4 linked regions of the Yarrowia lipolytica genome follow. The protein of the gene in region 4 purifies or fractionates together with the protein of the main gene of each other region. This does not show direct contact. Links are inferred from orthologs where the notes say so. Each region holds a gene or a part of one and is shown on either strand. Other genes may lie near its edges.

Region 1 (7,145 bases), on a different chromosome or scaffold from region 4:
TTTTGGTTGCCTGAGAAGTAGCTGAACGATGTTCAGACCCCGCCGAGTCAGATGAGCCAGTACCCGACCCAGAGCCACTAGAGCCAGTTATTTCTGTGTAGCCTGTTTCAACAGTTACCTGGGTAGATGTCTCTTCCTCTAAACCTCTTTCTCGTTCACTAGGATCATTTCTAGGAGGTTCTGGATGTTGCATGGGCACTCCCCCCAAAGCATGCCCCATGGGTGCTCCAAACCACGGGTTGTAGTTGGACCGGAACCCGAACTCCTGGTCCTGAGTAGGGTCTATTATTCCATCCCAGCTTCCCGGCTGGCGTTGCTGTCCCATCATCTTCTCGTACTGCTTGCGTTGGTGTTCTTCCGGACTGGTATAATAGGCATTGTCTCCGGGTGAAATGTAGGCGAAGTTATTGTCCTTCTTTCTACGCTGCTGTTGGGGTTGCTGATGAGCCTGGGTTAACTGGAAGTCTCTCCAGTAGTCCGCATTCTGTCGTTGCATCTCACGCTGCATGAAGTAATAATCATAGGGGGTTTGGTGAGAACCAAAAGGAACATGTGTCGGATACAGCATGTAAGGATTGTGGGGAGGTGGTAGGGGTGGTCGAGATGCTGGGTCTTCTTCGTCGACAGCCAACGAGTCGTGTTGGTACATGAGAGGATCGGACTGAAATTTGCGCGAGCTGCTCTTCTTCTTTTTCGTCTTCGTAATCTTCTTATTGGGCGACTTTTCAGGGGAAGCGTTGTTTTCTTCAGTAGGTAAGAGATCCCCGATTCCCAGAGAAGAGGCCGGTTTCTTGGAATTGCTTTTGGCCCTAGTCTTTTTGCCTCGCTCGGCCCTCTTTACCTCATGGTCATCCTCCACGTGCTGATACTCAAAGTCCGAGTCGTCCGTCCCTGAGCCTGGATCTCGCTTGCCCATCTTATGCACAGTCTTGTTCACCCTTTTGAGCACCTTTTGCATACCCTTCGGCTGAGGAGCACCCACAAACACATTGTCCATCAGTTGGTCGGCATTGGCTAGGTGTGGCGATGGGTTTGGGTCCCCATACCCGTGGTATTGTGGTGGCACTGTGTACATGTGCGATGGTGTGGCCGTGTGAAGTTGTAGTGTTGTCAGGGATCAGTAGTGTGTGTCTGTCTTTCAGTTGCGTGTTCAATATCTGTAGCGTGCCCTTTTTGTGAACCAGCGCAATGTGTTTCTGTCGATGTGATGTGTCGAAAATCCCTGCCATGCTCCTCCGCTTTGATCCTGTTAGTCTGGTTAAACTTCGGACCATTATTATTACAATTCCCAAACAAGCACACGATGCATGTGGCCGTGAGATAAGAGAGTTTATTGGGGCTGCAACAGGCCCTTACAAGTAGTGTTATATATTTTTGGGGCGCTGAAGGAGATTCGCATAATTTTTTACATCTCAGGGTTTTATCTACTCACATGAGCCTTCACCCCTTTGCTTCTATGTCCCCTTCTTTACTACTATATAGGGGGCTGGGTGGTCCACATGCCACTCTATACAGCACACTGTACACCTGCATTTCAGCTGCAACACTGCTGTAATCATTGTGTAGCGTTGCGCTACAAGTAGGGGTCACTGGACTCCCACGATATTACAGCTACGGCCATGAATCAAATTACAACAACAACACTTGGAATGAGAAGAGCTAAATTACGGTATAATTATAGGAATGTGGCACATCCTGAGACTACGTACATCAAACTCACATACAGTTTCGAGAGCGAAGATATTAAAATGTGAGACAAACAGGGGATATTCTTCAACGTCAGCCCGAGCTTGCAGAATGGTCAGTTGAGTCTGTGTGCGTTACAACTACAGTACGTTCATAAACCAACTACGGCGGTACAGATACTGTAAATTAAAGTATATACTATTGGGTACACTACTAATTACTGTAAAAGTGCTAGTGATGTGCGAGTAGTGCTGACACATCCGTTCTCTGACATGTTTGGTGACACAAATGACACGATGAATATGTTTCATCGTTTGATTCCCATCGCAAAACTCCCTGGAAGACAGTTTTAGATTTGCCACATGTAAGATACCAGACCTGCTATGATGTACAATACCCACGCTCTCTGAGTCTCGATGGTTGTGACCATATTCTATCTTTATGAAATTCGCTCTTACTGCACTTCCTTTTGGTTGTTCTGGTTCTGAAGACACTGCTTCTAAATCTTATAATACATTAATTACATCTACGCCGACTTGAGCTTCTTCTTGCCCTCGTCGTTGCCAGCGACCCTTCTCTTGTTGCTCTTCTTCTCGACCTTGTCTAGATCGTTCCACAGCTCGTCATCCTCCTTCTCAGCTGTTTCCTCCACATGCTTTTCCTGGGCTGTCTTTCGCTCGGTATCCACGAAAAGCAGAGAGGACACTTGGGTACCCACGAACATCTTTGCAGTGCACTCGGTGGTCTCGAGATCAAAAATTCGAAGGTATCGGTCAAGACCAACGGTAGCCAACAAACCATTGTCGGTGGTAACTAAATGCAAAACGGCACCGAGAGATCCGGGGAACTTCTCGACGACACAGGGAGACTTTCTGTTGTGTTCCTTGTTCTGGTTGTTGTCTTTGTTTTTCAGTACAATCTTCTCATTGTCTGCAAAGTTGAACTTGAACGTAGAGGAGTGGGCATCTGAAGAGACGACGTTGGAGGCATCCATACCGGGTGCCAAGGTTCGCAGAGGATCCTTTGTCACCTTGAAGTCCCACTTCGGTCGCTTTCCATGCCATGTCTCATACACTCTGATCTGTCCATGTCTGGTGGCAGTGATGACTCTGAATCCATCCTTGTCAGAAGCCTGGAAAAGAATTCCAGAAATCCACACCGGCACCCGCATATCGATTTCGTTGGACTTGACATTTCGGGCCTGAAACTCGGATCTCACGGTGACTTCGTCACCTTTAACAGCCCATCCAAACACCTCCAAATCTCGCTCCTTTCCACCCACGGCAATCTTGCCAGGATACAGCTCCCTGTCCAGAGCGAAGCATGCCAAGGGGCCCTTGACAGAGGCAGTGGGGGCGTCGTATGGCTTGTCGGACTCAATGGTGACCTTCGAAACATCGAGGAAAAAGAGTCGACCATCTTCCAGACCGGCAACCACAGTATTGTCGTCATACTGGGTAAGACCAATCCAGGGACATTTTTCTGCCCCCTCAGCAGAGTAGACGAAAATCGGAGTCGACTCCTCGGTCAAAAGGTATGGGTAGACTTCAATGGTACCGTTCTTTCGCGCGGCAGCAATGTATTTGGTGCCCTTTGATGTGGTGACCAGGGCCAGCTTTTGAATGTGCTTCAGTTTACCAAGAGCAGCGAAGGATGTGATGAGGGGCTGAGGTCCGTCCTGGACCGAGGTGTCCATTCCCTCGTCAAAAACAACTTCTTTGATTGCTCCAGTATCTTCGGCGGCCAGAAAAATCTTCATTGTGTACTGTAATGTGATTCCCAGACTTTGCTCGAGATACGATGTTGTCAGACTGCGTGCATGAATTTTTTTAGAGTTTCTGCAGTCGGTCTTGAGCGAAGCGAATAAGTAGAGGGGGCTGTGATACAAAGAGAAAATGGTGACTCCGATTATTGTTGAATTACACGGGGGGAGGAGGGGGGCAGCTTTCTGAATTGCCACCAAGATGATTTACTTTTGAACACTTTTCTTCACCCGTTGAGCAGGAAAGAACTTCTTAAATAAGTCGATAATTGTACAAATTAACGAGTATTACCTTACTTGTACTTGACATATTTGTTGTCATGAAGTCAGCTTGACAGATGGGCCACTCCGAACACCATCTGAGACAGACGCTGTCCTCGCTGTTCCCTGTGACTGTCAACTTTCTTATTGATGGGAACAAGCACGAATGGCACATATGCGATAGGATATTACAGGCTTTGTGCCCCCCATGGCTGGTTTCTACAAGTATATGGCTCATGTATAAACAAGGCAAGTCTACAAGACATGGGCATAATACATAATGATAATAAGTTAGATACTCCTAAAAAGAATTATTAGCTGAGTTGACGGAAGTGCTAGGAGAGTGTCCGATGGGGAAACCGGTCTTCTCAACGGGGCTTCTTCCCTTGGCCTGACGGGGGTGGAAAATGCCAGAGACACCGGAATGGGTGGATCGATGACCCAGGAGACTCTGTTGGGCCGATGAATAAGAAGTATTGGATGCCTGCTGAGTGATCTGGTTGAACAGGTCGTTCAACGAGTTGTTCTCAGTTGACGAAGAGGCGGAATTGAGTGAGGACTCCGACGCCTTTCGGGACATGGCCGGATGAGGAACTCCCAGGTCGGGGAAGGAAGCCACCGACATTTGAGAAGGCGACATGGATGTGGGGGTGAGTTGCGAGGCAGCCATCTTAGCCATCTGCTCCTGCTGCTGCATATGGAGCTGCTCCAGTTGTGACAACTGCTGCAACTGCGAAAGCTGTTGGTTCTGGTGCTGCTGCAACAGGGCCTGCTGCTGAGCCTGCTGTTGGGCTGCGAGTTGCTGCTGGGCCTGCTGCTGGGCCTGCTGCTGGGCCTGCTGCTCAGCAACATACTGAGCCTGGGTCTGAGCCTGGGCCTGAGCCTGGGCCTGTGCTCGGGCCTGGGCCTGCGCTTGAGCCTGAGCCTGAAGTTGGGCCTGTTGTTGAGCAACGAGCTGCTGTTCAAGAGCAGCCATCTGCTGATACTGATACTGGGCGGCAGCCTGATATTGGGCAGCGGCCTGATACTGGGCGGCAGCTTGCTGCTGGGCAATAGCTTGCGCCTGAGCCTGGGATACCTGGTAGTGCTGGGTATTCTGGGCCTGAGAAGCCTGCTGCTGCTGAAGCTGGCTGAGCTGCTCCATCAGCTGATACTGAGCCACCTGTTGAGGAGTGTATTGGCCCTGAACAGGAGTCATGCTACCAACAGGAGTGTGCTGCTGAACAGGAGACAGAACGGGTGAGTAGTGTACTTGGGGGGTCTGTCGACCGGCAGCCTGGAGCTGCTCCAGAAGAGACATCTGAGGAGTCTGGGCCATCTGTCGTTGAACAGGAGATAAGGGCTGAATGGGGCTCACGTAGAAGTTACTCTGAGTCATGGGGGTCATTCGAGCAGCCTGTTGCTGGGCAGCCATCTGTTCAAGAATGGACATGGGCTTCGGGGTCTGAGGGACACCAGGATGATGTTGCTGCTGCACAGGATAATGCTGCTGCAGAGAAGCCTGGCTGGGGACCTGAGCCATACCCTGGTACTGGGGCAGCAGCTGATGCATGGCATGGACCTGCTGGGTCTGTGCGAGGTTTCGAATTTGCGTCAGCTGAGGATGCAGCTGGTTGTCGTGCTGGAAGTCATGAGCCTCTGTCTGGAACATTGCTGGAGGAGCAAACGCGGGGCGAGGAGTGGCAGCTCCAGAGGCCTTTGGCGTGGACTGATTACTATCTGAAGTAGGCGATGACGAATGGGGAGCAGGCTTCTTCTTGGGCAGTTTTCTAGCCGTTGATGCAGGGCGAGTGGCCAGATAGTACCGAATCTCGGCATCCAGATCGCTCATGGCAGGAGAAGTGAAATTCACCTTGGGGGTTGTGAAGTAGTTGATTTCCGTGGGCTGCTGGAAAGAGGCCACTTCATTGTCGATAGCCAAGGGAGGCGAAATGGTGTACTGGCCAGGGGTGGTTGTTCCAGAAACTGTGGGTCCACCAGACGTGGCAGACGTGCCCGAAACGGAATGAGCTCTAGGCGAGGCATCGTGTGAAGAGCCTCCGTGTCGAGCAGGACTCAGAATCATGGCTTCAGGAAGAGGCTCCAGCGGAGTGGGCAGAGAAGACGACCGCCAAGGGATAGACGGCGCAATGGAAGAAGGAGTCAAGGGCATGAATGCGGTGGCCAGAGACGTGCGGGCATTAGGCTTGCCGTCCATCTTCAAAGGAGATGGGATGTTGAATCTTTTCTTGTTAGGCGAATCGGAGGGCGACTCAGGTCCAGGACTCAGGTAGGTCACGGGAGTGCACTCAAAGGCAGCACCTCCAGAATCATCCGACTTAGGGTCTCCGGGATTAGAAACCTGCAGGTCAGGCACTGGTAGCGCTCCCTGTGTGGAAGTAGTCTGACCCATGGTAGATCGACCGTTGAAAGAACTGAAGTCGAGCAGTTTTTCGAAAATGTTACCTCTCGACTTTCGAGCCTCCTTGAGACGAGCAGCGTCCTCTTCAGCGGCAAGCTTGGCAGCTTCTCGTTCCTCAGCGTCCTCCTCCTCAGCCACTTGCAGTTCATCGTCCAGATAGTAGTTCAGAATGTCTGAGTTTTTGGACATTTGTCTGGAATGGGCTGTGGCTGTACCCGCAGTGCCGGGGCTGGCAGTGTGGTCTGAAGAAGTCGACATTTTGTTGCTGTCTTGGTCTTCCTTAGTTTCTTCGTCTAAGTAAGGGATATCCAAATGCAAAGAGCCAACGTTGGGCGATTCCAAATGAGGACTATCTGCGTAGTAAGAAGAGCCTCCCCTAGAGTTGACATTAGCTTCAGGCATCTGAGGGGGCTCCAGAAGAGCGCTATCTCTGTCTTCTCCGGGGGTCTCCCAATGAGTCTCCATTCGGGCGTCTAGGCTGCCCAAGTGGCTCGTTCGGAAGTTACCCATGGGTCTATGTTGCTCTGCGTGGCCCAGCGAGTGGCTGATTTTCTGCGCGGGATCGGCTTCATGATTGTCTTCGTAGTGATTGGTCTGCTCGTCTTCCCACGTTGTTGCCAGTGACTGCTGGTTGGTATTAGAGTCCGCCACATAGTTTCCGTACTCGTTGTGTTTGTTGTTGTTGTTGTTCTGGTGCTCATTCTCCTCAGTGAATGAGAATTCATCGTATCTGGAGTCTGCGAGCGACGTCGGTCTGCTTTCTTCTTCTGCTGGTGCTGTGGCTCCCACAGGTTTACGAGTGATGGCAAACTTTGGGATTTCGCTGAAGTTCTGTTCGGACGAGAAACTGGTGTCGTTCATACTGTCTTGATGTCCGATATCGTGTTCTCTTCGGGTGGGGGAGCCCATCGAGCTCTGCTGCAGAGAAGGCACATCCCAGGTGTTATCCCAAACAGGGCTGCCCAGAGTTTCTTCGCTGTCGAGGTGTGGACTATCGAGGTGTCGAATGGAGTTTTTGCTGATTCGCCGGGTCTT
Region 2 (8,474 bases), on a different chromosome or scaffold from region 4:
GTCTGGGGAGGTGAGGGGATGACATAAGGGGTGAAGTGAGTCATCGGAGCGAATTCGTTGGTCGTTTCAAGGGTTTTGTCGAGTCGAAAGTCGCAAGTCGTTGGTCGAAAGGTCGGAAAAAGAAGAAGATATTTGTTCCAATTTGTTCCAATTTGTTCCAATTTTTGTAATTTTTTTGAGATTTTTTTGATTTTTTTCGGTCGAAGTGGTAATAGTGATATTCCCTGTTTCTGTTTCCGTTTCTGTGGCTAGAAGACTTGGGGTCTTCTAGGTACTGTTTCCGGTACTGTTTGCAGCTGGAGGAGAGAGGAAGGTCGCTTTGTGGAGTCTGAGATTAATCCAACGCCATCAGTTTTGTCGTCGTCACTTTCCGTAAGAGAGGGATGAAGACCGTTTAAGGAAGAAGAAGAGATTTGGTGGGGGCCATGATGTATATAAGTTGGGACTTGTTAAGGTTTGAACATAAAGTTTATGTGAAAGTGTATGAGAAAGTCTACTGAAAACTTATTTTTGGATCATACTGAAACCTTGTCAATTTGCGAACTTAAATGAATATTTTTCGCTTAGAGTTGCTGGAGAGAGATGAAAATCAGAAGGGGTCAGAAAATCACGTGATATGTGGGGGAGGTTGGGAGAGAGAGCGAGGGGCCATCATGTTTGGGGTACATCATGTGCTCTACGGTAGGGAAATGCCACAAAAATGCGGCAAATAGCAACGTTAAATGGTTGAATTGTTTCATTTGAATTATTTTCTCATCTTTTATTTATGTTTATTTACTTGGGTTTCTTTGAACTTTGTTGAAAGTTTAATTAGCGTCTAGTGCAATGGTGATTCATTCTTGCTCTTGAACCGAGGGAATAGGTGACGATTCAATTGAGCGAAAATTGGGAAAGAAGGGGAAAATCGGGAAAGAAGGGGAAAATGGCTGAAATCAGAACGAAAAAAACAAAAACAAAAACAAAAACACACACATTTGCCCCGCCAACGTGTCACGTGACTTCTGGGGCCTGGCCGGCCGATTTGTGGCATGTTCCAAGCGTGTCCTGAACCGCGGGTTAAGTTTATTTGAATTGGGCGATGGCGAGAAAAAAACAACTGTAGAATCTGACTTAGTAGAAACAGGTATATTTTAACAGCGCAAATAACGTCTCTGGAGTCAGTAGTATTTATTTTCGATTTTTCCCGATCACCTCCAACCTTCCTTGCTCTGTCTACTGCCTTCCCAAATCTCCTCGATGTTGTTTTGGTTCATTTTTGGGACTACTTGCAGGCGTCTTCACAGGGGCCACAAGTGGGTCTATGAGGGCGTTTGGGGTCTCAAAATGGAGCCCCCGGCGGGGGAACACGGTCGTATTTTCCGCTAAGCGAGGGTGTGATTGTCTATGAGTTTTTATATATATATATAATTTTTTTTTATTCATTACAAAATTTATTCCTCCAACACCGCCGTAGAAAAAAAAAAAAAAAAAGGAAAAAAAAAAAAACAACCCCATACCAGAAGAATTTCTTCGTGCAACTCTTCACGCGACGTTTCAGATGAGTAAAAACGTAATTGGGCAATTTTATATTGCCAAGGGGACAAGAAGTTACCGAAAAATGGCCCAAAAAAAGACCGAAGTATGGCCCCCAAAATACCCCCAAAAGACTCGAAAAAGACCCAAAAAAGACCCAAAAAAGACCCAAGGCTCAAAAAGACCACCAATTTCTCCTTCAACACGTGCTGGGAATGGTTCTCCTGACTGTAAAGTTGGATCTACAAAAAGAACATAACAAGACGGCTGAATAGAAGTAGAAATATAAAATAATAAAATATAAAAAAAATATAAAATATAAAATATAAAATACAAACAAAAAAATATAGAACTAAAAGTACAGCCTTTAGAGAGTGTCACCTTATAACACCAGCGATTACCCAATCACGTGATTCATTTTCGTGCACCGGCTTTTTCTCTTTTTTGCTAATTTTTTCTCTTTTTTCCTCTTTTTCCGCGTTGTCCCACCAAGGCGAATATCACGTTGCCGGAGACTTATTTTTACTGGAGGAGAAATGACGTGCGGTCGAGAGTCGAAACTTAGCACGCGCAGCTATATCATGGATTTGGACACGCAGGAGTTCAAGTCAGTATGGAATCAGGTTTGGAATAGTTGGGAAATAGTTGAGAAATAGTTGAAGTGCACTGGGGGTATGTATGTAATTTGGTGTTCCAGAGATGCTGAAGCCACAAAAAGGATACCAGACGATAGATAATGAAGGATTTGATGACAAAAATGATATTTCTGGTAATTTTTATCATACAAAATCTCGAGTTGTGGAGCATTTCTTATCCTATCGAAGTCAACGTTACTTGGTCATTTGTTGGGAATTACTTGAGAACAATTCTGGGTTTTTTTTATAAACGTGATATTCTAGTTTTATTTTCTATAGTGCAATGGGCCGTGGCTCGGAAATATTCCAGTCTCGTGATGAGGAGATGGAACGGAGACGAAACAAAATGTTCTCGTGACATGGTAGTAGATGGGTGGGTTTGTTCTTCAAGAGTGTGTAGAAACTTCGGCGAGTCGAGATTGGTGGTTGGTGGTGGTGGTGGTGTCAGATGTACATGTGAGATCAACTGCGAGCATGAGGACATGTGAGGTCAAACACTCATCATAGAAGTCCCCAAAAGAGTCACTAAACGACGCCCTCCAGAAGACCCACGTGACTTTTCACGTGACCAAACAAAAAACCACCTAACCAGCGACCTCCTCGATCAACCCCAATCCTCCGAAGACTCCTCTTAACGCCCTCCACGACCTCCTCCACGACCTCCACGACCTCCACCCCTGCCACCCCGACTCGGCCGGGCATTCTTCTGCTTGCGCTTCTCGGCCAGGATTCGGCTCTTTCGAACATCGGCGGTGGACTTGAGCTCGCTCTTGGGCTGGGGTTTCTGGATTCGTCCGTCTTCCTTGGCAGCGGCGACCTTGGTCTTTTGCTTGTGGAAATCGTCTCGGTACTTGTCGGCTCGTTTGGGGGCTTCGTTTTTGTTGTGTTTGAACTCTCGCGCAGACAAAACCCGCTTAGTGGCAGGCCCAGACTCCTCCAGAGCGCCAACCTTGAGATTGCCGACCTTGTGGGCGGCCTTCCACTTATCGAATCGGCCCGACCGGAACGACGCGGCGATTCGCTGGCCTCCCTCACCTCGAATGAACTTCTTGCCACCCTCCGAGCCCGCGTTGATGAACTTACCCTTCTTCTTGTCCCACTTCATGCCCTGTTTCTGCTGCATTTCCGAGCCGTCGTTGATGAGATCAAACGTGGCATTGGACGCAGCCCCGGCAAAGTTGCCCACAGCATAGCCCTTATCGTCGTTGGTGGGTGCGTAGTGGGACATGAAGTTCTCCGAGTCTCTGAAGGAGCGCTTCTTGGACTTTTGCGCCTTCTTGGCCGCCCGAAGATCCTCCTCCGTAGTGAACCCGGTGAGATCCGCCTCGGTAGCCATATCTTCCTCGGTAGACCGGGCAATCTCCGCATCCTGCGAATGAACCAGACCCGCCAGCCGCTCCTTTTCCTGAATGGCACGCTTTTCCGCGGCCCGGCGCTGGATCGGAGCCAGCTGGGCCCGACGAGTGGCCATCATCTCGGCGCCAGAGGTGGTTTTGCTCTTGCGGAACTCAAACACCGTTTCTCGAATGCGCTTCTGGCCCAATCGTGCCAACAACGCGTCCTTGGCAGACTCGCCATCCTCGCCAAACATGAGATGATGGTCGTCCCATCCCAGTGCCATAATCTGCTTTGACCGCTTGGCCGACTCCTGAGAAGCACTTCCCTTGGTCTTGTTGTACATTCGCTCGCCCTTGACCGCAACCTCCGACAGCTGCTGCAGCTCGTACGAGTCCTTGACCATCTGGGCGAGCTCCTCGCCGTGGATTTCGAGCGCCTGGCGCGGAGGAGCTCCAATTGTCAGAGTGTTGACGTAATCGGGCTCGGCCGAAGGGTCGGGATTCTGTTGCTTGAACAACCGAGGAGTCAGTAGCTTGCGGCCCAAAAACACCTCCAGATCCAACAGATACGGAATGTCGTTGTCCTTGATGATGGAATAAGCCCATCCGCGGTTGCCGGCTCGAGCTGTTCGACCCACACGATGGATAAACACCTTGGGGGACGGAGGAAGCGAATAATTGATAACATTGGCCAGAACAGGCACATCAATACCTCGCGCAGCCACATCAGTGACCACCAAGATAGACGTTTTGCCCGTGCGGAACCGATACAGCTGGTTCTTACGAGCATGCTGGTCCAACGTGCCGTAAATGTACGAAACCGCGTACCCCAGAGTTTGAAGCAAGACAATGACATACTCCACATGATGCTTGGTGGGACAGAAGACGATGGTCGACTTTTCCGAGGGCAATTGGTGCGCAGGGGGCAGCCGTTCTTTCTTGAACTTGGGCCGTTTTTGTTTCCGGTCCTCATCCCGTTCTCCGTCGTCAATGGCCCGTTCATCCAGTCGCTCGAGCTCTTTGAGCTGCTCCGGCGTTGCAAACGGCATCTGGATCACCTCCTTGAGAATGAAGGCCAAGCAGGCGTCTCGCTGGTTCTCCTTGACGGCAAAAAACGTCATTTCCAAATGCTCTGGCAACTTGGTCTCGGCATCCAGACGAACCAGAATCGGGTCGTGAAGACCAGCCTTGGCAAACTCCACCAGCGTCTTGGGAAGCGTGGCGGAAAACAGCAGAGTCTGTCTGTTGCTGGGCAACGACGCTAACAGCTCGTTCATCTGCTCACCAAAACCCAGCTCGAACAGCCGGTCGGCCTCGTCGAAACAAATGTACTCCACCGACGCCAACGACAGCTCCATCTCCACCTTGAGATGCAGAAACCGGCCTGGGGTGGCGATAATAATGTCTGGATTGGACATCATCATTTTGAACTGCTCCTCCAGCGAATCGCCTCCAACCAACATGGCCAGACGCAGATCGGTGCCGGCAGAAAAGTCCTTGACCACCTTGAGCGTCTGCAGCGCTAGCTCACGTGACGGCGACAGAATCACCGCCCGCGCGCCCACCTTGGCGCTGTGGACCTTGAGCTTCTCCAACATGGGCAGCACAAACGCCGCTGTCTTGCCACTTCCGGTTCGGGCCATTCCCACCACGTCTTTGCCCTCCAGAACCAGCGGAATCGTCTTTCGCTGGATCGGCGTCGGCTGCTTGAACCCCTTTCGTGCAATATTTTTAAGCACCAACTGCGACAAACCCAGACCAGCAAAACTGCCCGAGCTTTTTTTGCCCGTTTGCGGTGCTCCAAAGTAGCTTTCCACCGAGTCGTCCGTCTTTTTCTTCTTCTTCTTTCTGCCCTCGTCGTCATCGTCGTCGTCGTCATCGTCATCGGACAGTTCCAGATTGGGGAAAGTCATGGTGCCCGGTTCGCCCTGCTGGGGCCCGGTCTCATCTTCACTGTCCTCAATAATGTCGGGAATCTCGCTGTCGGACTCTGATCCGGACGAATAGTCGTCTTCCGAATCCACCCCCGGATTCAAAGACCCCGCAATGTCGTATTCAACCTCACTGTCGGACATTTTCGTGCTGAAGTGTGGTATGTAGTAGGCTGTGAGATAGGGATAGATTCCAGGTAGAATTTATTGAGATAAGGTTTGGAAAAAAAATTAGAGGATAACTTTAAATATATATATATATATATTTTCAAGAAAAATCGAAACCTCGTCAGTTCGAGTTTGAGCACGACATTACTTGCAACATGCGAACTTGAAGAGAGCGAGAAATTGAACCATTTGAAAGAATAGATACAACATGAAACAGTCTAAGTGTATTTTCTTAATCAAATTTTGACCCGGTAGAACCCGAGATAGACGTGCAACCACCTGAACAGTTGCTTAGTTGGCGAAAATGGACATCGCAAGAGATATTGAGGAAAAACGGGTGGTTGAAATGGATTTCTGGAAGGAAGAGGAGTCCATTGGTATCTTCTAGTATGTTTCAGCTCAACTAGAACGCTCATTAAACCCATTCTCAATTCAGACCTCATACTGTTCGTAAAATGAGTAATTTTGAAAATGTAGAAAAAGTAATAGAATCAGTGGATAGCTTAGATCAAGAGAAATCCAATGGTGAACTCCATTTTCTTGTAGCTCTTCCCCATGGCTAGCTAAGTGCTTGTATAGAGACTCTGAGCATAGGAGACAATAAGTGATCGTTGCTTGAACTAGTCTGAAAGTCCGATTAAATCAATAAAAACTAAGACTAAAACTAGTACCAATGGTCAACCACAAACGCCACCATTCCAATCATATCATTATTTTCTCAATTTGATATTGTTTTACTATAGCTTGGGCAGATTCAATGATTTCTCATTCGCCACCGGTCTTAAACGTGTCTTATAGAATGTCTAATAGTGGTCAAATTTGTCTGATAAATTAACAGTTTCTCTATTCAAACCAGTATGATCAAATTAAGCCTGCTCCCAGCTCATTCCAGACAGTATTCATTATTCTCCAAAATGCCCCCAACCTCGAATCGAACCCACAAACACATTCACTCCCATCATTTCCAGATCACCACTGTCCAGATCACAGTCTGATCAACAACCTCCTCGACCTCCACAACCACCATGGGCTCTTCCGCAAGTAAGGCGAAGCGTTTCCAGCCCGCAGCCGAGGCCGGCAAGCGCGCCATCGATCTGTCCGTGAAAACCAAACATCAGCACATTCGCCAAGAGACGGCCGACCCCAATCGGTCGCAACCGGCTCCCATGCCCATGGCTTCGCAGACCAAGAACGAGGACATTGTCAGGGACGGCGGGGACCGAGATTTCGCGCGGCAGCTCATGGATCTCGGGGCCGTCAAACTGACCGAGTCTGAGGTCCAATACAGCAAGAGCAATCCTGTTTTGGAGGCTCTGAAGGCTCGCGAGGCCCTGGATGAGGCCGCTGAGGCCGAGTCTGGGGACTTTAGCAAGCCCCGAACGCTCCTGAACCCGGCCACCATCTCCGGAATTCTCGAGTCGCAAAAGGCTGGCGAAACAGACATCACTAGAGACTACAATCTGGCTCCCGGAGTGGCCGACAAGTTGAAGTATGTGAGTGTCCCCGAATACGAGTTTCTGGAGACCGCTGCGACCGAGGGAGAACGACACAGAGATACCTTTTCGCTGGACGGCGGCCGAGAAGACCCGGCTCTCAGCAAACTGGCCGATTCCGGCTTTGTTCAAGTTGAAGGAAGACATATTTCCGAGTTTGATAACGCCGATTATGTTCAGGTCGGAAAGGGCAGAAACGCTACTGCTGGAGGTCCTCAGCCTCAGGGAGTACCTGGAGAACTGCCGGACGACATTTTTGGAGATATTGCTCAGGCGTTCGAAGAGCAGAAAGACGGCGCCGAGGTGCCCAAAAGTAGACACCAGCAGGACCAGGACTTCTTCAACAGGGAAAAGGAAAGACGGTATCCCAAGAGAGATACAAAGCCGGTCACCGTGGAGCTTTGATTGTAGCGAGCAGCCGATCGACTACATCATATGACTGTTTGAACGACAGTTTCTGACCACAAGGCAGTCTATTGAAGTGCTTCTTGTGCGCCAATTAAGTGTATATATGTATATAGTGATTTATTGATGAGTGATTGTCTATTGTGGTAATGTTTGAACTATTTTTACTGACTTTAATTGACTTTACTTGACTTTACTTTGACTTTACTTGACTTTACTTGACTTTACTTGACTTTTACTTGACTTTACTTGACTTTTACTTGACTCTTTACTTGACTTTAATTATTTACTTGGGGTTATTTAGTAAACCGTCACCTAACGATCTTCAATTCACCCAGTTTTAGAGATATCGAGTCGGCGAAAAGTGCACAACAGTCCTCTCGCAATTCCAACAGCAGTTTCCACATCACTTTTCCAATATTCGGTCTATATTTACAAACCCGGTATTACTCTTGTCACTTATACAGTGAGTGCATTCTGACGCTGACACTTTACTCCAAACGCCCTCTAGCCCAACTCTTCTTCTCACACCTCACTCCAAACGAAAGCGACATATACACTGACACAGACGATGTCACACAGCCTGCATCCCGTCTGCCTGTCGCCCTACCACTCTCCCCAAACTATACAGTCAAACCAGAGGACGGAATCAGGTTCTGTCTCCAAATCTGCATTGGGTTGCGCAAATACCCTCCAAGTGGCTCAAACGCGCTCGTGCTCGCACAATTGCCCATTCCACTCAAATCAGAGATTGCAATCATGTTTTGTCTCCAAACTGTCTCCAGAGAGTATTTTGACTGAGGTGTGATTGTTTATGCGTCTGATGCTGATGTCAAGTCCCCACGCAGCTACGACCATAGTATGCCACCTTTGCGGACATACAAAGTCACTTGTTCAACCACTACTTCACTTGAGCCGAGTCTCGTCCGGTGTCTGTGTTGATAGCGAGGACTTCACACCTCAGATCACTACGTACATCTCTCCGTATCAACC
Region 3 (6,519 bases), on a different chromosome or scaffold from region 4:
ATGTGGAGATGAATAGGAGTCTCAGAGCGTTGATGTTGACATCCGAGTCAGCCTTGACCTTTTTGGTAGCATTTCCAAGTCTAAGAAACAAAGACATTCCAGGTCCTCCAACATCTGTAGCCGTAGACACATCGCCTAAATCACTCTCGTCGGGAAGAGGAGTCGATGGCAACATGGGCATGTCTGGAACGGCCTTTCCAGGTGCTCCAGAGGTAAGTTTGGCGTATTGGTAAGCCGAGAATCGTCTGGATGCTCGTCTTTCGAGCGCCTCTCCTCGTTGTAAAGCTGCCAGAGGGTCTCCACGTGATCCCGGGCGTCTGGTCGGAGAGCCCTGGGGAATGGCAGGGGCCATGGCTTGAGCCATAGCTCCAGGTATGCCAGGAGGCATGTGAGCTGGTGGGGCCATATGCGGTGGCTGCGGCGGTTGTCGGGCCACCGGTGGACTGGGTAATCCTGGCTGCTTAGGTGCTGAGCCTATAGTTTGAGACCGTCGCACATGGTCTCTATCATCCTTGTGCTGTGGCAGAGAGGTGGGTGCTGAGACCTGTCTGGAGGGTCCGTATTGATGCTGGGGCGGGTGTGGTCGGAAATTTTTGGGTGATTGTTGAGGTGGGATCTGTTGCGCCTGTGCTCCTTGAGCTGCTCTAAGTGCAGCCTGTTTCTTCTTCAGACCCTGAAGCAGGTTGATGATGATTTCCCGAATGCTGGGCAGGTACAGATCGAGGTTTTCCTGCGATGCTTCTTCGCTTAGCGCCTTTTCTAGCACCGTCCGCAGCGCCTGGGGCACATCGCCCATGTCAGTGACGGGCAAGCCGGCGTTGAGAAACGCTCGACAGGCAATGTTGAACTCGTTGCCCAGATTGACGTAGATGTCGGACACGTCCTGTTCAGAGGCTGCTCCGCGGGCCCATTGCGTGAGGCTCTCAAGCAGCTGTTTGGTTGCTACCAGCAGATGGGTGACGCTGGACTCAATGGAGTTCATGGCAGTCGAGTTGCGGGCCATGGGGGTCTGAGCAGACAGACGTCTTGACGAGCCTGTGGGAGCCTGCTGGTTGTGGCTCTGGTGATGCGGAGGGTGCGCCATGGGTGGCGGAGGGTGCTGCCCACCGTGGTACGACATGGGTGGTGATGGACAGGTTGTAGTGAGTGTACCTTGGTGTGGGCCAGACTGCACTTCTTGAATTAGGTGTAATATGTGTCCCACAAACCTTGGGAATGTGTTTAGCTTTGTTGGTGGACACGGAAGGGGAGCTAAAGCAGGGGCGGGAGGATGCGATGTCAAGGTGTGAGTGACTTGTATAGTGGTTGTATCCAACACTGCTTTGCCGAAAAAAAAATAAACAAGACCCTGTCACCACACACTGCTCTATCTTTACATCATCCCCACAAGGTTCTACTTACCCCAATCATGTGATGTTGCAGATGCACTAGCAAGAAAAAACCATTGTCCCACCAACGGCTCAAAACCACAACCACACTCAATACTGTAGTCTTGCGGCGAAGAGTTACATGACGAGTAGATAATAATGCCGTTCTCGGGTATCTGCCAAGAGATAACGATTGAAGAGGGTTTGAAAAAATATATGAGTTCTCAGCTTGAACATTAGCAGCAATAGAGAAACTTCTAACGTGTAACATGGATGAAACATTACGTCATTCCACCTATCGTACTGGGTATTTTTATTACCCAGTGAGGGGGTACATTAGTAAGCTATTTTGTAGTACTGTGAGTTGATTTTCAACTACAAGTAGTTACTGTAATTGTACAGCACGAGTACGAATATTTACTTATGGGGTGAGGGTCGTGAGTTGGATTATAATAGAGCGCCAGAATACAAAAATTGCCTTGGTTGTCGCCTAGAATTTCGCACCAATATTTGTCAGTTTTGGTGTAGCACCAGAACAGCTTATCGTGGCCTACAGTACATACTGTGGTGAAGTCGTACAATTTCAGGGTTAGTCAGGATTAGCCAGGGTTATTTAGGAGAATGCTGAACTGTTACTGCTGTAGTACACAGACACACGCCCCAGTTGGTCAAGTCAACAAGCTTGACCGCTTTACTTGGATTTCTCATGTACATTTCAACAATCACTGATCTCATGACTTCACGATACAACTCATCTACAGTAGTATTTATCATTAGTGGCTGAAGCTTGGAGCATTTTTCAACGTGGGATTTTCTTAATGTAAGAAAACTACTGTACAGAGGTGACTTCAAGCGCGTGTTTCTAAGGAACGTCTTACGTTATTTCCATAAGCAGTGTGTGACCACTGAAGTACATCGGAGGAAGACAATTACAAAGACATTCGTTATAGTACACTGTCATACCACACCCTACTCTCATTACAAGTACCGGTACAGGTACACAATCCCACCTTGGCAGCTTGTATTATCTATCTAATTAAAACTGCGAATAGTGCCATGCAAAGGAATACTGATCCGTTGGAGACACACCCATATTTTGAAGTCAGGCCATGCCAAATACATAATGCATAATAGTTTAAGCGATGCTCGCTGTTGAGTAGAGCTCGCACTGCAGCCAGCACACCAGTGTGTTGACGAGGAGAAGCAGACTGGCTGTGCTTAACCCATCTGCTGGTACAGCTGGGACCACTTGGTCTGCTCCCACTGCTCGCCCTGCTGGTCGTTGTTGAGCTTGAATATACTGCTCATGACAGTAAGCTCGAAAGAGGTGGTGGCGTAACCAGCAACGGCCATCCAGTCGTTGACAACACAGCCAGCGCCGACAACAGGAGAACCTCGGTTGACGGATCCAGCAATCAGGGGGACCTGGAGAAGCGAAGAAAGCTCATCCTGGTCCTCAATGGAGGTCTGGGGGTGGACAATACCTCCCTGGTTGGACAGGGCACAGTAAGAGCCGACAAGCACATTTCCAGCAACAGTCTGTCGGAAGACCTCAACACCAAGCACATCGGCAATCAGCTCTTCGGTCTCTCGCTCGATATCGGGATGCACAAGAGCGGCGTAGTCGTTGGTACAGATGACGTTTCCAAGAGCAGATAGACGCTCCTCAACTCGCTGGATCTTGACCTCGTCGGGCAGGGAGTTTCGCAGGTGCTGCAGCTCAACATCCGAAGTGGTGGAGGGCACAAGCAGACCTCGTCGGTTGCCGGCTGTGAGACGGCCCACGAGTCGGGTGCCGCCAATGGTGGAGTAGACAATAGGAATGGTATCTTGGAGCTCGGCCTCGAAAGAGCTGTAGAAGTTCTCGGAGCCGCCAACAGCCACCAGACAGTAGGAGTTGGTGAGCTTGGAAAAGACACCAATCTCGTCAGAGTTTTCAAACTGGGCACGGGTAGCCATTATGTTGATTGATTTTTTTGAATAAGGGGTGAAGTGTGGTTATTCAGGCTTGCGGTGGATACTGCCTATCTTTATGTTTTGCATTGCAGCACAATTTTTTCATGACCGTGCAGCTCAGCTGCGTGCTGGAGTATACTGTGACTGATCTCGTCAACGTGTAGTTCTTGTCATGTCATACGTGCAGACAGTATGCAACTGTGATGGGCCGGTGGCGATATATGTGTAGATTGTGTGTGTGTCTTGCGGCAGGCTGTTTGGTACGTATGGTGGCGGATCGTATTCATGTAACAACAAGATAGTCCGACTGTTTGTGGACTCATACTTGAATTGAATATCGACTTACTACGGAATATATTGTAATACCTCCATTGGCTCAGACTGTGATCGGAGATTGACTCAGTTAGTAAGCAGACCAAGGGTGGGGCGAAATGTCCCTTTCAGAATATTCGGTTTTACTCTCATTTCTTCTATCATTACCCACCACAGTTCGTGTTACTGTACACACTACTGTAGAGATACAGCGATCCATTTATACAGTTAATTCATTATTTTATACAATATTTAGCTACCTCCTAGCAAAAAATACCTTAGTCGAGATCCATCTCGTCGTCAAAGTCATCGTAGGAATCTTCAGCCAGCTCCATGTCCGTCTCGCCGTCATGGTTGGGCAGAATCTCCAGACCCTTGTCTCCTCGGATGATTCGGACCTCCTCGCCGTCCTTAATCTGGTGCTTCAGAAGCATGACAGCAAGCTTGTTGAGAACCTCGTTCTGGATGAGTCGGTTGAGAGGTCGAGCACCGAGGTCGGGGCTGTAACCGTTCTCCACCAGGTAGTCCATGGCGTCCTCATCGAGATGAAGTTTGAGGTTTCGGTTGTTGTGCTCGAATCGCTTCGAAATCTCATGGAGACGAATGTTGATGATTCGTCGAATGGACTTCTTAGACAGCCGGTTGAAGACAACCATAGCGGTGATTCGGTTGAGAAACTCGGGTCGGAAGTGGCCCTTGACAGCCTCCATGACCAGGTCTCGAGTGGACTGGTCAATGGTAGTCGAGGTCGATCGGTTGATGAACTCCGCACCCAGGTTGGAAGTCATGATAATGATACAGTTGGATGCGTTGACCACCTTTCCGGCGGAAGATCGCACTCGACCATCATCAAGAACCTGCAGAAGAACAGTGAGCACCTCGGGAGCAGCCTTCTCAACCTCATCGAACAACACAACGGAGTAGGGCTTTCGGATCAGGGCCTCGGTAAGAATACCACCCTCCTCGTATCCAACGTATCCGGGAGCAGCACCAATCAGCTTGGAGCCGGAGTGCTTGTCCATGAGCTCGGAACAGTCGATTCGGATCATGGCCTGCTCGTCAGCAAACAGGAAACCTGCCAGCTTCTTGGCAAGCTCAGTCTTACCGGAACCGGAGAGACCAAGGAAAAGGAAAGAAGCGGGGGCGTTGGGGTTGGCAAGACCCGATCGAGACAGTCTGATCGCGTTGGAAACGGCCTTGACAGCCTCGGGTTGGCCAACAACTTCTCGAGAAAGCACCTTCTCCATGTTGATGAGCTTGGTGTTCTCGGCCTGGGTCAGCTTGGTGACAGGGATACCAGTCAGTCGAGCCGCAGTCTCAGCTACCTGGTCGGCGCCAACAACGTCCTTGATCATGGACTTCTCCTTAGCGGCATTCTCCTCTTCAAGCTCAACAATTCGCTTCTTCAGATCCGGAATGGCAAAGTATCGCAGATCAGCAGCAGTGGAAGTGTCTCGTCGTCGCTCGGCGTCGAGAGCCTTGGTCTCGAGCTCATCAACCTTGTGCTTGAGGTTGTTAAGCTCAACGTGACCTGCTCGCTCTCGCTCAAAGGTCTCTCGCAGAGGTCCGAGCTCCTCCTCAATGTCAGCCACTCGGTGCTTCGCGGCATCAAGACGCTCCTTGGTACCCTGGTCGGCGTGCTGGTCTCGCTCCAGAGCCTTGACCTCGATCATGAGCAGATCAAGCTCTCGCTCCAGGGAGTCCAGATGCTCGGGTCGAGAGTCTCGAGCAACAGCAACAGCGGCTGCAGCCTCATCGACCAGATCGACGGCCGAATCGGGCAGCTTTCGGTAGGTGAGGTATCGGGAAGCCAGCTGAGCAGCAGAAACCAGGGCAGAGTCCAGAATTCGGACTCCGTGATGCAGCTCGTACTTGTTCTGGATACCTCGCAGAATGGCGACGGTCTCTCGAATAGTAGGCTCTCGCACGTCGATCTTCTGGAATCGTCGCTCAAAGGCGGCATCCTTCTCAACGTGCTTTCGGTACTCTTCGTTGGTGGTGGCACCGATACAGTGGAGGGAACCTCGAGCAAGCATGGGCTTGAGCAGGTTGGCAGCATCACCCTTTCCATCACCCATGAGCATATGGATCTCATCGATGAACAGGATGATCATGTCCTTGGAGTCCTCAATCTCCTTGAGAACACCCTTGATTCGCTCCTCAAAGTCTCCCTGGTACTTGGCACCAGCCTTGAGAGCTCCCAGATCGAGAGAGAAGAGCTGGCAGTTAGCCAGAACGTTGGGGACATCGCCGTCGATGATTCGCTGCGCGACACCCTCGACAATTGAGGTCTTACCCACACCGGGATCACCAATCAGACAAGGGTTGGACTTGGTTCGTCGTGCCAGCACTCGGATACATCGTCGGATCTCCTCCTCTCGGCCAATGACAGGGTCAATCTTACCCTCTCGAGCCTGTTTGGTCATGTCAATGGCATACTTGTTGAGGAACTCGAACTCGTCGGCTCCGTCAGCGGTTCGCGAGTCAATTCGTCGCTTTCCTCGCACGGCTGTGATGTTGGCCTCCATGACGTCCTTCTTAATACCGCACTCCTTGAGAATGCTCTCAATAGAGGAGTCATCGAGAAGGGCCATGAGAATGTGGTCCTGGCCCACGTACTCGTCCTTTTGTCGCTGCTTGTACTTGATGGCATTCTGCAGCACCTTGGAGAAGGCGGGGCTCTGGGACAACTCGTCGGGAGGAGGGCTTTGGCTGGGCAGTCGAACAAGTGCCTTGTTGACGGCTCGCTTGAACTGGTCCCAATCGTACTTGCCTCGCTCTACGACGGCCTTGATGTAAGGATCAGAGGCATCGTCCTCTGCATCGAACATGGCAGCCAGAAGATGGATTGGCTGGAGAGTGCCCTGCTGGTGCTGCTGGGCCA
Region 4 (7,020 bases):
TTTGTGATGCGATTGTCGACTCTGTCCCGGACGTCAACAACTGTATCTTCTGCAAGATGGTGTTCCCCGACATCGGCACTGCTATCCCCAATTGGCAGATCACGGGCATGCTCCAGTGTCCAGGTGTTAGTAGGGCAGTTTGTGGCACTGTCTTGCCTACCAGTGTTTCGCAGACAAGCCTTTCTACTTCATCTTCGACTTCGTTGGTTGCGTCTTCTTCTGACGCTTCTGTGTCCGGATCTTCTGCGTCCTTTCACACCTCTTCCCTTACAATTTCAGTTTCTTCATCTCAGATCAGCTCCACTGTTAACAGCACCTCTGCCGTCTCCAGCACTGCTTTTGTGTCCTCTGACAGCACCACTGAGTCGTCGGTATTCGAATCTTCATCTTCTTCGCCTTCGTCTACTGTTGCTGTCAATAGTAGTTCTGTTCCTGTAACTACCTCCTCTTCTCATTTCTCGAGTGCAGTGCCTTCCAGTCACAGCTCAGCTATTACCTCTTCGACTGTCGATACTACAGCCATCAAGTCTTCGTCTGATGGCTCTGGTTCGATAGTTTCTTCAGCTTCTGTTTCTTCTTCTAATGCCACATCTGGTATTTTTCCTTCGGACATCACCTCTTCTCAGGTGTCTAACTCTGGTTCAGTGTCCAGCAGCTCCGTCCCTAGCAGCTCGATATCGAGCTCTAGTACCGATTCCAGTTCTGGCGTCCCCAGCACTGTCGACTCGTCCTCAACTTCCGGCTTGCATTCTTCTGCCGTGACAACTGGACCGTCTTCATCTCTTTCTTCGACCACTTCTTTCTCCAACTCGACGACTGACAGAACTACCGCTGTCATTCCTCCTGGCACCCGGTCTTCATTCACAGCTTCTCAGACTGATGTTTCTTCGGGGCTGACAGATAGCTCTTCTGCTTCTAAGACTTCGGCCGTTGATTCATCAACTTCCGAGACCTCAGTCTCTAGTGCAGGAACGTCGGCTTCCAGTACTGGAGAATCGTCAGCTAGAACTTCAAAGTCAACTGCTTCTGAAAGTCTCTCGACTTCTGAAGTTTCATCTTCTGGCGTGACCTCTGAGTTGTCAGCTTCCTCAACTGTGACACCTGATGTCTCCAGCTCCTCTCTGTCTTCTGATCCTAGCTCGTCTGTATCCTCTGATGCATCAAGCTCGGTGTCTAACACAGCGTCGGCTAGACCAGTGTCTAGTTCAGATGTCTCCAGCACGGGTTCCAGTTCTGCGGGCAGTTCGGACTCATCTGCATCTACATCGGGACCTTCGGCCACTAATGTCGCATCCACTAGCTCAAGTGGCTCCGCTTCTGTGTCCTCTACAGACAGTAGTTCTGCTTCTTCTGAGACCAACAGTGGCATATCAAGCAATGGCCCTTCAACCGCTTCCACAAATTCTGCCCCTGCTTCTAGTTCTGCTTCCTCAACTGGTCCCAACTCAGACTCAAGCCATGATCCCACTTCTGCCCCTGCTACATCCAGCGATCCAAGCAGTACTGCAAACAGTGTTTCTCAGAGCTCGTCAAGTGCGTCCAGCTTGCCAGGTTCCAGCCTCTCGGCTCCGGACTCTTCAAGCGTATCTAGTTCTTCGGCTTCAGCCAGTGCTTCTTCGCTAGAGTCCAGCTCAAGCAGTGTGACCAGCTCGATTGTATCCAGCTCTGCAGGATCCAGCAGCAGCGACGAGACTTATACAGGTACATCTGCCACTTCAGGCTCGTCAGCGACAGGTTCGTCTTCCTCTGTCTCATCTGACTCCACTTCTGCCTCTACTACTGACTCTTCTTCGTCCAGCAGTTCGGCAAGTGCTTCGTCTGGATCTTCTGATCCAGGCACTGCTTCTGAGAGCGCAGCTGCTTCAGCCTCTGCATCTCGGTCTGCTTCTGCTTCTCCTTCAGCCTCTGTTTCTTCGGACACATCTTCTATCCCCCAGACTTCGGCTAACCTGGTGCCTTCAACCCGGTCCATTCCCTACAATGGCACTGCTCTTCCTCCCGTGGACAATGGTGTTAACCCCACTGCCAACCCCACAGACTCTCCTGTGTCGGCTCTCGGAGATGGTGAGTCCCCTGTCTCCGATGATAGCTCCCCTTCTCCTACTGGTGGTGCTGGAGATGTAAACGGCAATCCTAGCGATGGATCTGGCGACGGCAGCACAAGCGGCAGTAATGGCGGCGACACTAGCAACGGTTCTGGCAACGGTGACTCTAGTGATCCTAACAATAACGATCCTAACAACCCGAGTGATCCCAGCAACCCTGGTAACGATCCCAACGATCCCAACAGCCCCGACAGTCCCAGTAATGACCCTAACAGCGCTGATCCTTTCAATGCCAATAATCCCAGTGATCCCAACAATCCATTAAACTCTAACGATCCTTCGAACAACTCGAATAGCCCCAATAGCTTGAACGATCCCTCTAACGATCCCAGCGATCCGTCTTCTTCCGGTGCTGCTGGCGCCAATGGCGGTTCTCCTGGTAATGGAGGCTCTTCTGGGGGCTCTGGCAACGGTGGATCGGGTAACAGCGGCAGCGGAGGGACAGGATCAGGTAACAGTACGCCTGGATCTGGATCTGGCTCGTCTGGCTCATCTGGAGGTAATGGTGCTCCTGGATCTGGCAGTGGAGGTTCTAGCGGCGGTGGAAATGGTGGTGGAAATGGCGGTAACGGTGGAAATGGCGGTAACGGTGGAAATGGCGGTAGCGGTGGTGGAACCGATGGTGGATCGTCTGGTGGCGTCAGTGGTGGTTCTTCAGGAGGGTCCTCATCAGGATCGTCTGGAGGATCTAGTGGATCTTCTGGATCTAGTGTATCTTCTGGATCTTCTGGATCTTCTGGATCTTCTGGATCCTCTGGATCCTCTGGATCCTCTGGCTCTTCTGGCTCTTCTGGCTCTTCTGGCTCCGGATCGTCAGGCTCATCGGGATCTTCTGGCTCTTCTGGCTCCTCTGGCTCTTCTGGCTCCGGATCGTCAGGCTCATCGGGATCTTCAGGATCTTCTGGCTCATCAGGCTCCTCTGACTCGGGAACTGGTTTTTCGGGCTCGAGCGGTGGTTTTACTTCTGGCGACAACAACAACTCGCCTAACAACTCGCCTGATGCTAATTCTCCTAACTCCCAAAACCCCGACTCTCCTGACAGACCCACTTCTACCACTCCTCACAACAACGACGGTTCGCCTGCTTCGCCTGTGCAGCCTCCCATGGGCTCTCAAGGCACGATTCCCAATCTGCAGGGCAACCGAACCAACTCTACTCGGGGCAACAAATCCGAGGGCAGTACCACGTACGGTGGCCTGGGCGGCAATGGTTCCATGTTTGGTTCCGCCGCTACTGCGATTTCCATGAGTGTGGTTGTTCTGCTGCTGTTCTAGAAAGACTACAACAAAAACTCAAGACTGAAAGGTTTTATTTATTTATAGACTAATGCATGATATTATGGTAACTGCGATATAGTACAAGTACATTACTGTACTTAAATTGGGGTATATTGTACAGATATTGTATTTGGTGAGGTTCCCTCTCCCATAAAGAGAACTGTTCTACCCGACAGACACTTCCCTACACGTACTGGTATTTGGTTAGGGGCATAGTATGAGAACCGGTAGATTTACTGTCAAATTTCTCGTGAGTCAATACTTTAACCCGACATAATACCTGTTCATGGCTAATGAGAGCGGTTCACATCAACTTGCTATACCAAGTGGTGATGATTACTCAGCGTCATAGTACATACTGTAGTTTGTAGTGAAAATGGAGCGTTGTTGACTATTCATGAGATACAATGACCCCTATTCTGTAGCATCCACAGGCAACTCTTGTCACTGATGAGCGCCAACACAGACCTCACAACCCTACACCATTCCACTGTACACTACATACTCGTATGTACATACTGTACATACTCGACACATTACTACACAACACAACATCTCTCTGATCCTCCATAATTAACCAAATATACATTTCTATATCCTTGCAGTCCAATTAAACCACAAGAATGCAAGCGTGCGCCTGCAAATGAAGCCAGCGAGTTGTTGCCGAATCAGATTGAAGCCTTGTTAAGTCTGTATGACTGTCGAAAAGTGTTTGTCGATCTGTGAAAGCGTTCGATCCTCGCTGTGCTTGCAGTTCCCTTACAAATGGAACTTCTTCTTATCCTTATCCATGGCCGATCGATGCTCCCATTCCACCTCTCCTCGAATGCCTCTCTGAAGACGTCTGAGTCTCAGGGTGAACTGAGGACCCAATTCCTGCAGACCCACTCGCTCCTCATTCTTGAACACGTATCTGTGTCTTCGGAAGAAGATCCAGTCTCGCTGGTTATGCAGAGTCACCACCTGACGTCCCACAAACTCCGGTTGCTGAGGAAACATGGATTGGAACAGCCGTCCGACAGTCTTACCCAGTCGCGTGGAAAAGTTGTTGAGAATCAGCTCGGGAATGTGGGTTGTTGATCGGCCGTGGCCCTTGATCTCCTTAGGCATCTTCAAAGATGACACGGAGAAGTACATGGTGGGGCCCTCGGGCAGATGAATAAAGGTCAGGCCGTTCACCTTCTTTTTGTCCTCGTTGATCACCACCAGATCAGTGTAGTCTCTCTCGGCGCACATCTTGGCAATCTGCGTCATTGTGAAGTCTCCCACTCGCTTTTTGAACTCGGAGCCGGGGATAATGTCGTACAAAAGGTCTGCAAAGTCGTAGGCCTGTCCTCGAGCTCGCTTAGAGGTAGTGATCAGTACCTTGGGGGGCTTTCCCTCCTCAAAGTACTCTTTGAACTCATCCTCTCCCTCCATCTCCTGAGCGATGGTCTCATCATAGACTCGCTTGGCCTCGATGGTGTCAGGCACGTTCTCAGCCAGACGTTTCTCTTTGAGCTCGGGGTTCTTGGCCTCCTCCTTGGCTCGTTCCCTTCGCATCTCGTGTCGCTCCTTATTGAGCTTGTGCTTCATTTCCGCGAACACCTTCTTTCGCTTCTCCTTGTTGGCGATCCGAATATCTCGCTTTACCGTTCCCATCGTGTCTTGTAGTGTGCTATGGTGTCCGATTCTCTGCAAAACAAATTTCTTGAAAATATTGGAGATAAAAAAATCCTGCATGAACTTTATGCAGGTGGACAGAGAAGGCAGATTGAGCATACGGAGGGTAGAATGGGGGTTGTGGGGGTGAATGAAGTAATGTGGGTACTAAGATACGGAAATGACTAGAAAACCTTTGAAAGAAGCTACCATTATTCACATACCCCCACGTGGCAGCTATACCAGGACTATTTTATGCTTACTCTCTCCGCCATGTTCATTCAGAATAGGATGTGAAAATGGGACGTGAATTGAACTGGCGTTGGAGCATGTTTAAGCAAGTTTAAATAACTGTTTAGTGTAGTCTGCCTTCTCACTCTCAAATGGCTATACCAGTACTCTGAACGAAGGGGTTGTCTTGCCGCGTGAATCTTTGATATGTCTTGTGCTCATCCTGCTTGACAAGATGGACAAATAACTGAACGATACGAAGCTATTGGTGAAGTTCCTGGGAATGGAGGTTCCACCGTCTCATAACTGTTGGGGCCGAGTTATATGTCAATGGGAGAAAGGGAGGGATTGATATATTGATATATATTAAAAGCACTGGAGGAGTTTCGGAATCGTGGAGCCTCGTTGATTCCTTTTCACTTGGGGACATTGACAGCTGGGAGGGACTTACAGTAGTATGTGTCCCATCCAGCTGAGACCAGACAAGTTTCGAAATCAACTAAGGGCTCAAGTAGTTGGTTTGCACACAGACGGAGAGCAGACACAAAGAAAAGCGGCTCACTGTGTGCTCTATGTTAGTGCGACTGGTTTCATTGAAAAAATTACATGCATGAAAAATGAGACGCGTAAAATCATTTCAATCCATCAGACGCGAAGCCTGTGGGCGCGGTCAAGGATAGGTACATACTGTAGCTACAAGAAGTACCCCGACAGGCGTAGGAGCACAGCATTGGGTTGCACAGCATTGGATTGCATGGGCGTTGGATTGGCGTGTCTGCTAAGGCCCATAGTGCAAGAACCAGACATAAAAATAGACAGAAACAGCTATCCGAGATGTTAGAAAGTTCATCAGAACACACGAAGCTTGCTACGGATGTGAAAGATCTCATACAGGAGGTTTGGAGTCTCTCATCCTCCGTGGGGTTAGGGTAAACCAAAACAGGCAAATGAATCAGTTGATCGAGTGAACTCATACAATGTGTTGTGTCTTGAGGGGTTCTCATACGTTATAAACAATAGCTGGAAAAAAAGAAGTTTTGAATAAGCCCATTACCGGTTCTCACTTTCAGTCTCCTGTTTTGGTCACTAGACATTCACAACCCCATCGATCTACGAATACCTCATACTGAAATCAAGGTTTCAAATTTCACCATTTGGGACGGAGGCCAGACTGTGCTGTAAATACTGTCACTTTAAAGCACTAGTACAGATACGTCGTTATCACCACCCACAACACACCATGGCTATCTTGGAAGAAATCGACGATGTGGACAACATGGACTTTGATCCCGCGGAGTTCGATCCCCGGGCGGTTCTCACCGACGCCACCGCGCATCAGGAGAGTGACGGGCGAGGTCCCATCAACCTGATTTCCAAGGCTGAGCACGAGCGACGAGAACAAGCCAAAAAACAACAGGAGCAACAGCAGGAGCAACAGCAACAGGCCAACCCCATGGCCCAACTTCAGCAGATGATGGACCAGATGAACCAGGGCGGAGGTATGCCCCCCAACATGGGCCAGCAGGGCAAGCCCGGTACACAGGTGTTTGACTCGGAGGAGTTCAAGAACCAGGAGATCCAGGAGTCCGACTTTAAGGACTGGCAAATAGTCTACCCGGTCTACTTTGACAAGAACAAGACTGTGGGCGAGGGCCGACGAGTGCCTCTGGAGCTGGCTGTGGAGAACCCTCTGGGCCAGACCATCGCCGAAGCCTGCAAGATGCTCACCCTGCCTTCAATCTACGAGGCGCACAAGACTCACCCC

Evidence for each region.
Region 1: the proteins of YALI1_F28453g (region 4) and YALI1_B21714g purify together in Saccharomyces cerevisiae (affinity purification with mass spectrometry; 8 studies listed by BioGRID, with this or other methods). This does not show direct contact. The link is inferred for Yarrowia lipolytica from reciprocal best matches to the Saccharomyces cerevisiae genes RPF1 and NSA1.
Region 2: the proteins of YALI1_F28453g (region 4) and YALI1_D32424g purify together in Saccharomyces cerevisiae (affinity purification with mass spectrometry; 4 studies listed by BioGRID, with this or other methods). This does not show direct contact. The link is inferred for Yarrowia lipolytica from reciprocal best matches to the Saccharomyces cerevisiae genes RPF1 and DBP10.
Region 3: the proteins of YALI1_F28453g (region 4) and YALI1_E33024g purify together in Saccharomyces cerevisiae (affinity purification with mass spectrometry; 5 studies listed by BioGRID, with this or other methods). This does not show direct contact. The link is inferred for Yarrowia lipolytica from reciprocal best matches to the Saccharomyces cerevisiae genes RPF1 and TIF6.

Annotation. Positions count from the first base shown.
Region 1 is NC_090771.1:2,167,709-2,174,853, reverse strand, and holds YALI1_B21714g (uncharacterized protein), read right to left. Parts: upstream 3,446-7,145; coding exon 2,213-3,445; downstream 1-2,212. Other genes in the region: YALI1_B21737g (uncharacterized protein), read right to left, coding at 1-1,075; YALI1_B21675g (uncharacterized protein), read right to left, coding at 4,011-7,145. UniProt on the Saccharomyces cerevisiae protein: Involved in the biogenesis of the 60S ribosomal subunit.
Region 2 is NC_090773.1:3,236,814-3,245,287, forward strand, and holds YALI1_D32424g (uncharacterized protein), read right to left. Parts: upstream 5,560-8,474; coding exon 2,779-5,559; downstream 1-2,778. Other genes in the region: YALI1_D32369g (uncharacterized protein), read right to left, coding at 1-44; YALI1_D32435g (uncharacterized protein), read left to right, coding at 6,609-7,481. UniProt on the Saccharomyces cerevisiae protein: ATP-binding RNA helicase involved in the biogenesis of 60S ribosomal subunits and is required for the normal formation of 25S and 5.8S rRNAs.
Region 3 is NC_090774.1:3,299,066-3,305,584, forward strand, and holds YALI1_E33024g (uncharacterized protein), read right to left. Parts: upstream 3,327-6,519; coding exon 2,586-3,326; downstream 1-2,585. Other genes in the region: YALI1_E33002g (uncharacterized protein), read right to left, coding at 1-1,120; YALI1_E33056g (uncharacterized protein), read right to left, coding at 3,914-6,519. UniProt on the Saccharomyces cerevisiae protein: Binds to the 60S ribosomal subunit and prevents its association with the 40S ribosomal subunit to form the 80S initiation complex in the cytoplasm. Is also involved in ribosome biogenesis.
Region 4 is NC_090775.1:2,840,240-2,847,259, forward strand, and holds YALI1_F28453g (uncharacterized protein), read right to left. Parts: upstream 5,145-7,020; coding exon 4,143-5,144; downstream 1-4,142. Other genes in the region: YALI1_F28393g (uncharacterized protein), read left to right, coding at 1-3,380; YALI1_F28459g (uncharacterized protein), read left to right, coding at 5,713-6,096; YALI1_F28467g (uncharacterized protein), read left to right, coding at 6,496-7,020. UniProt on the Saccharomyces cerevisiae protein: Essential protein. Required for biogenesis of the 60S ribosomal subunit.